Linked DNA regions of Callithrix jacchus. The protein of the gene in region 2 interacts with the protein of the main gene of each other region in a biochemical or structural test. Links are inferred from orthologs where the notes say so. Each region holds a gene or a part of one and is shown on either strand. Other genes may lie near its edges. The genes, in order: XAF1 and RNF114.

Region 1 (3,810 bases), about 28 Mb from region 2:
GGTGAGGGTCCAGTCCTCCCTGCAGGAGAGATGGGGTCCAGGAGTTAGGGTTAGGGTCCAGTTCCAGTCCTCCCTGCAGGAGAGATGGGGTCTGGGAGTCAGGGAGTGGGTCCAGTCTTGCCTACAGGAGAGATGGGGTCTGGGAGTTGGGGTGAGGGTCCGGTCCTCCCTGAAGGAGAGATAGGGTCTGGAAGTCAGGGTGAGGGTCCAGCCCTCCCTGAGGGAGAGATGGGGTCCTGGAGTTGGGGCAAGGGCTGGGGACTTAAGGCAGGAGTCCAGTCCCCCAGGCAGAGACTCACTTGAGGGCCATGGGAAATCATTTAGTTCCTTCACAGGAAGCCGCATGGGCAGGAAATGTTAATCCTGCCTTTTTCATGCTAATCTGAGCCTACCACCAATTTTCCCATCTCCAGTCCTTTCCCTACAGGCTTATGGGTCTAGCATAGGCAAAAGGATCTGGTTTCAGGAAAGATTGGCTCTTCTCTTGAGACCCGTAAAGAGGGGACATGAAAAGGAAAGCCCCAGAAGGCAGTCAGGTTGAGCTTTGTTTCCTGCCTTTCATGTCCATGCCTCCTGGGCCCCTGATCTGTCTCTCTGGAGATACTCAAGCTCAGGCATCCATTTCAACTCAGACTGGTCTGACAAACACTTCTTGAACACTGGGCTGGCGCTAGAGAGAGACTGAGGTAACCACACTGGATCCCTGCCCTCTAGGAGTTCACAGACTCCAACCTGGAACACTGTGAGCCAACATGGATGTGGGACAGGCCCAGGGTGCTGGGTGGAACCCACATCTGGGGTGTGTGTGTGTGTGTGTGTGTGTGTGTGTGTGGTGTGTGTTTAGGTTGGGTGTACGATGTGTCAGAAGAGCATACAGAAGTCCTCACTGGCGTTTCATGAGGTAAGACTTCATGTGATTTCTCCTTTACAGACAAATAGGCCAACCTGAGAAAAGGAGAGGAAGGGGAAAGGGGAGGCCGATAATAGAGAATTCCACCTGACCACTTTTTACACCCCATCAGGCTTAGAGAGCAGTGAAGAACTAGCCCACTACATGACACATGATCTCCTGTCCCCCAGATACTGGCCAGAAGTGCTTTCCATGGTCCATGAGTTCAAGAGAGCTCAGATCCCCCGAGGGCAGTCCCTCACTCTGGCCCTTCTCATCTGCTATCTCTTATTGGCTGTAATTCCCTAGGGAATTGGGCACAAGTCCTTGATCTGTCTGCAGTCAAAGAGGCCAGTGATCATGCCCTTCCTGCTGCCTCCCACAGGCCAAGGAGTGCCAGGAACACTCCGCTGAGTGTAAGTTCTGTGAGCTGGACATGCAGCTCAGCAGGCTGGAGCTCCACGAGTCCCACTGTGGCAGGCGGACGGAGCTTTGCCCAGGCTGTGGCCAGTTCATCACACGCCGGGTACTCACCGAGCACACACGTTTCTGTTGGAGTCAACAGGCCCAGCTCGGGAAAGGTGAGCACACAAACTGGGGCAGAAGAGAGACATTCTGAGGGCCAGAGCATTTTCTGGATGGGATGTGAGGAATGGAAGCTCTCAGCAGCATGGATGACAAGTGTATTTGCTGTGTAGGTCTCAATTCATCCAGCTATTCTCATTCTAAACCATGCATTAGAGTGGCCTTCCTGTCTGTCTGCCATAGTCTTCAAATGACTGGTCCAGGGAGACCAGGGGGCTGGGGCTAGAGCCTGCCAGCTGCAAAGTTGAGTAAGGAGGCCATGGGGAGTCCCAGGAAACAGGAGGCTTTCTTTGAATGCCTCCAGCACAGTCCTAGCCTGGCAGAGATCCATTGATTTCTCATCCTTTTACAGATGAGAAATCTACACACAGAATAAAGCAGGGGCTTGCTAGAGGCAGAAATAAGACTGGACTTTCACATTTTCCACCAAATCTAGGGCTTTTTCCATTATCAGTAATGGCCAGAAGGGACCTAGCTATAACTCCTGGCCTTGGAGCCTATGTATTGGCTCCCTGGTACCATTTTATGTTCCCTTGACTCACATACCTCTTTACAAGGGTATATTTACTGTCACTGTCACACAGTCATTAATGTGACAGATCCTTTGCTGTCTTTGCTGGTTGTTTTGGTAACATGGTAACATAAGAGACAGCCTAAAACTCCCCAGACAGTTCTCTCCTGATAAACAATCTACCCAAGGTCAAAACTGGCCAATGAAAAACTGAAAAGTGTGAGATTCATGTACATTTCCTTCATCCAGCATGGCTGGATTTCAACAGAACCAAACACAGTCTTCAACACAACAATCAACAAAGATGCGTTCAACCAACACCTGGTCCAATCACAGAGCCTGGAAACTGGTGGGATGAAGAGCAGTTAGATTGGAGAGGATTGGCATCCCTGGCTAGAGTTCCATTCATCCCCATAGAAAGCAGTCCCGCTCCGGAAGATGTCTCTCCATCAGGGTCACTACTGCCCTAAGTGCACATCTGTGGCCATAAAGGAAATGATGTGAGTGACTCTGCCAAGAGTTGCCTGTGTAGTCAAGGATGCCAGCAGTGCAGGAAAGTCAAAGCCAGACAGGCCTGGGGGCAGTTCATGCTCATGAGTACGGGCCATATAGACAGCTGTGGGCGAGCTGGGCTAGCCATCGTCAAGGGCAATCATTTGTGGTGTTGTTTCTGTGCTTATTCAGGGGAAAGAATTTCAGCACCTGAAAGGGAAATCCACTGTCATTATTGCAACCAAATGATTCCAGAAAATAAGTATTTCCACCATATGGTGAGTAGCAGTTAGTAATTTTCTAATGGTGCCAATAGTTAGTCCACATTCTGAAAAGTAGGATAGGAAAGGCAGATTCTGGGCCCAATTTTGCGTAGCATGAATATTAAATGATCATATATATATATATATATATATATATTTTTTTTGCTTTGTTCAAAAAGATATTTTAGTGACTAGCTTAGGCTAATCGAGCACACACAATTGGTCTTCCTTTGTGCCCAGCCCTTCAGGGGGCCTCCCTCACCACTCCTAATACCCGCGATCACCTCTGACCATCTCCAACCTTCATGACCTGGACATTGCAATTTGGTCCTCAGTAGGGCCTGTCTTACTGTTTTCTGTCCCATGTAGGAGTCTTCTCTATTAAACTGTGAGCTTCCTGCAAAACTGAATGACTTTTCCCATTTTCCTGGTATCAGGGCTTGGTGCAAAAAGGGTACTCTGTAGAGATGCAGTCATTGGTTGACTGACGGGCTGGTTCTGTCTGGGAACACTCAGACTCTTCCCTCCATAGCCCTAAGCGCCTTTTCATGCATTGCTGTGCCAAGTTGCTCCCTTCTTTCGGACAGAATGGAGCATTTTTCCTTTGGGAAACTTACCAAGGCTTCTCTCCAAGGAACTCATCTCCTTGGACAGAAAGTTGTTTACTTTCTTAACACTTCAGTTCCTAGAACTACAGAATATCAAAACTAAAGCAGCCATAGAAAGGATTCAGCTCTTTGCTTTTTTGTTTTGTTTTGTTTTTACTAGTGTGGGAAACCACATATAATGTAAAACTTGCCACTACTTTTGAGACAGTTGGTACATTCAGAATGTTGTGAATCTAGTTCTAGAATATTTTCATCATCCCAAAAAGAAATGCTGTGCCCATTTGCAGATACTATCCATTCCTCCATCTTCCCAGTTCCTGGCAACCATTAATCTACTTTCCATCTCTATGGATTTGTCTATTCTGGATACTTCACATCGATGGAGTCATATAACATGTGGTCTTATGTAACCATCTTCTTTCACTTAGCATAACGTTTTCAAGGTTCACCCATGTTGTGGTT
Region 2 (4,272 bases):
GAAACTTGACAAAGCCCTGTTCTCATGAAACTTACATTCTAGAGTGAAGGGAAACACAAATGTTAATTTCAGATAGTGATAAAATATATGAAGGAAATATGGCAAAGAGACCAGCTGGGGTGATCACAGAAAGCTGCTTCTGAGGAGTTGGCATTTGAGCTGGGTGGGACCCAATTACGAGGACAGTCACAGATCTGGGTGCAGAACTCCACACCGAGATGATGCCAAACACAAATGAGCACTGGAAAGACAGGCAGGCAGGCAGGCCTTGGGAGCCACAATGTGGTAGACCATGGCGAGAAGGGCAAGCGATGAGGCAGCAGAGACAGGCAGGGCCTTGCGGTCATCACTTGTGTTGCCTCTTCACAAAGGCAGATCACAAGAGGAACCCAAGAGACCGCCGAGGGTCCAGTGAGTATAGTGGAACCGAACCCAGCATGCAGATAAAAGCAGCCTGAAGTCTCTTCTCAAGCACATACATAGGTGGTACAGCTCATCTATCAAATGTTCACGAGCCACTTTGTGCCTGAGACACACCCAAACCACCAAACTGCTTTTGAACTGCTCAAATATCCTGGGCTGGCTTTTCAATTTCTATTTCCTACTTATGGGCCCCTTTCTAGTTCAGCCTTCTGACACTCACCCCAGTCCAGTGCTAGAAAGAAATTCCCCTCTTGTGCACCCAGCCAGCTGCCCTTTTCCAGCTGTATTATCCTAGATTGGAGAATGCAGTCATTCAGGGCTTGAAATACAGTTTTATAAAAATCCAATGCCCCAGCCAGAGTTGCAGTAATGTTCAAGTTTCCAAGCACAAAAGGTAAAAATCAACTAGGCACAGCAGAAAGCACTTGGCTCCAGCTAAGGGGCTAGAGCTAAGTCAGGCTGCCCTCACAGAGGTGCTCCCATCTGTCTTCAATTTGCACTGAACTGCTCAGCACGTGGGGCTAGGACAGTGAGTATAGGGAAAAGCCAAGGTTTGAATCCCAGTACAACTCCTTGCCCTCTGACCTAGGAAACGTTCACCTAGCTCAAGGAAACCTCAAATTTTGCTGCTCTTCATTTAGCAAACTGTGCCAAGTCTAACCTTTTTACAAATGTTAATAGTAAATGAAATCCACTGAATTAATCCAAAAGTAGGTAAGTCTGAGCCAAGGATAAACGGATTCAATGAAAAAGCTAGCTAAAGACTTCAACTCTAGTGAAGTTTGCTTCCACCACTAATTTCTTAGTTTATTCAACCATTACCTGATCACTCACCCCAGACAGAGGTGTGATCCCTGAAATACCCTCCTACTTGCAGAAGGAATTTTTACAGTAGTTTGACCGGTACTTATTTATAATCAATTCACTGAACTGTAAAACTCAGAAGGCAGTCACCTTTCTACTTTACTCCAAGATCTGGCACACAGAGGGCATTCCAGTCAGTTGAGGGGCAAAAAACATACGGCCACTCCTTCATGAGCTGTAAGCAAGAAGGAAGTTAAGCCCCAGAAAGGAAGTGGGGGAAGTAATTTAGACAGGAATGGTGTTTGGTGAGGTAACTTAACCTGGGACTTGAAGCCTGAGAAAATTAAAAAGAGTTCCAGGCTAACTGAACTGGAAAGAGGAATAGCCTAAAGCTACATGAAGAAGCAAAAAGCAGCCAGTGCGGCTGGGAGCCTTTGCCAGGTGCCAACCACTGTTCTCCGGAGTAACAAAACAGTCACCTGAAGTCCATCTGGGAAGAGTTAGGACACGATGAGCCTTCCTTAAGTGAGCCTCGGACCCTCAGTGTATTCACCTGTAATATGGCTACGAACCCTACCCCGCTGCAGGGTGGTTACAGAATAACGGCCATGAAGTGCAATGGCTACTGTGCCTGCTGCCTAGTGAAGGGGTCCCAAGACCAGTGCCAAGCTGATCCCACAATAAACACCGAGAGAGGCCGGAGGAAAAGCCAATTCTCAGAGGCAAGAAGCAGGTGGCCACGTTGCCTACAATTTTTTTTCAGCTCACGTGTGTTTGTGCATCTAATGGAACAAGGCTTAGATTCAAATCCGCCAACCTCGAAAGCCCCGGCCACAGCCCAGGACCTGGACTGGACATTTTTACACATATCTACTTTAATCACCATAACCAGTCTATTCACAGTATTCAGGTCATGAAGGCTTCATTGGAAATCGAAAGAAACAAACCTCCTACACAGGAAGTAGAGAACGCTAACAATCCGTCTGCCAACTCCCACCCCCTTTCACAGGTAAGGGCAGACTGGCCAGATCCACATAGACTTCCCTTTTGTTTTAGTCTAGTTCAGCGTTTCTCCCAACTTTACTCCACGTTGGACTAACTCGGCACAGCTAGACACGATGCCAAATGGCCTATGCTTTCAGAGCGACATGGACTAGAAAAGAAACGTCGGCACTCCAAGGCGGACTTCAGAGCCTAAAGTCCTCATAGGGCACGATTTCACTATCTCGTCTGAGAAGGAGACTGACAGGCCGCCGGGTGCACCGCAGGCGCTCAACGGACAGCAGCTGCCCAGCTAAGGGCGGAGGGACTGGATACTTGGGAGTGAGCAGGGCGGAACAGAAGAGTGCCCCGGCAGCTTTCAAGGTCCTTAGGAGCCCTGGGGGGCCCCGCCGGGAGGCCCCTCTGGGTCACCTCTGGCTCCCGCCCCGAGACCCAACTCGTCGGGGCCTCGCTCCTCGGCTCCATTCCCCTCCCAGTCAGGCGCCCCCCTACCAGGCCCGGGTTCGCCGCTTACACGTGTCCGCAGGGCACCTGTACCGGCTTCTCGTACACCTCTAAGCATACGGGACACGTGAAGCGGCCCAGGGGGTCAGCCTCCGCCGCCGACCCCGCCAGCTGCGCAGTACCCTCCCGGCACTGCTGTTGCGCCGCCATTTTGCTGCTCAAGAGCCGCGCAACGGCGGCTGAGGAGGAGTAGGCCGAGGGGGCGGGGCTCGCGGCAGGCGGGCGTGGGGGCGGGGCGCTGTTGGGGGCGGGGCGCTGTTGGGGGCGGGGCTCGTGGGTGGGCCGCGCCTCCCGGCCCCTCTGACCTGAGCGACCTAGAGGCCGAAGGCAATCTGGAAAACGTGGAAGCCAAATCCAAAGGCTGCCAGATTTGTGACGGTCTTTGCGCGTGGACCGCTGTTTTCCAAATGTAAGTCATTAGTTCGGCACCACTTGCACTATCACTAGTTCTCTTCAAATCATTGCTTTTTCCTTAAATTTATTTATTTATTTAATCTATTTTGAGACAAGGTCTTGCTTTGTCGCCCAGGCTGGAGTTCAGTGGCACGATCGCAGCTCCCTGCAGCCTCGACTTTCGGGATTCAAGCAATACTCCCACCTCAGCCTCCTGCATATCTGGGACCACAGGCAGTCACTACCATGCCCAACTCATTTATTTTTGTATTTTTTTTTTTGTAGAGACAGAGAAAGGAGTCGGGGCAGGGCGGGAGGTGCTGGCCAGGGGTTGTGTGTGTGTGGCGGGGGGTGGGGGTAGTTCTCACTATGTTGCCCAGGCTGGTCTTGAACTCCTGGACGCAAGCGATCTGCTCGCCTCGGCAACCTGAAGTGCTGGAATTACAGCCGTGAGCCACAGTGCCCAGTCCTTTCTTAAATTTAACCAAACAAATTCTAATAACAGATCTAATTCCTGAGCTGCAAGAAGAAAATCAGTATCATTTATTTATACATAGGAGCTGGGCATGGTGGCTTACACCCGTAATCCCAGCACTTTCGGAGGCCGAGGCAGTCGGATCGCTTGAGCCTAGGAATTCCACACCAGCCTGGCCAACATGGTGAAACCCCATCTCTACTAAACACATAAAAATTAGCAGGACATAGTGGCGCACACCAGTAGTCCCAGCTACTCTGGAGGCTAAGGCAGGAGAATCGCTTGAACTCCGGAGGCGGAGGTTGCAGTGAGCTAAGACCGCTCACTCACTCCAACAGTCACTGAACTCTAGCCTGGGCGACAGAGTGAGACTCCGTCTCAAAAACACAAAACCAAAAAACCAACAACAAAGCACATTCATTTCATATTGTGCAATCATCACCATCAGCTATCTCCAGAATTCTGGTGGTCTGTGCCCACTAAACAGTAACTTCCTGTTCCCTCCCCCATCTCCGCCCCGCCATGCTCCCAGGCCCTGGCAATTTTCTGCCTGGGATTTTGCAGCACTTATACCTATAGAATTTCCCCTAAGCACTGTTTTCACTGTGTCCAGTAAATTTTGGTATGCTGTGTTTTTGTTTTCATTTGTTTTTCGATATTTTCTATTTTAT

The links.
Region 1: the proteins of RNF114 (region 2) and XAF1 form a complex in vitro, tested with the Homo sapiens proteins (2 studies listed by BioGRID). The link is inferred for Callithrix jacchus from reciprocal best matches to the Homo sapiens genes RNF114 and XAF1.

The regions. Positions count from the first base shown.
Region 1 is NC_133506.1:73,177,767-73,181,576, forward strand, and holds part of XAF1 (XIAP-associated factor 1), read left to right. Parts: intron 1-1,274; coding exon 1,275-1,470; intron 1,471-2,669; coding exon 2,670-2,755; intron 2,756-3,810. UniProt on the Homo sapiens protein: Seems to function as a negative regulator of members of the IAP (inhibitor of apoptosis protein) family. Inhibits anti-caspase activity of BIRC4. Induces cleavage and inactivation of BIRC4 independent of caspase activation.
Region 2 is NC_133506.1:45,486,019-45,490,290, reverse strand, and holds the start of RNF114 (E3 ubiquitin-protein ligase RNF114), read right to left. Parts: upstream 2,894-4,272; 5' UTR 2,884-2,893; coding exon 2,744-2,883; intron 1-2,743. UniProt on the Homo sapiens protein: E3 ubiquitin-protein ligase that promotes the ubiquitination of various substrates. In turn, participates in the regulation of many biological processes including cell cycle, apoptosis, osteoclastogenesis as well as innate or adaptive immunity.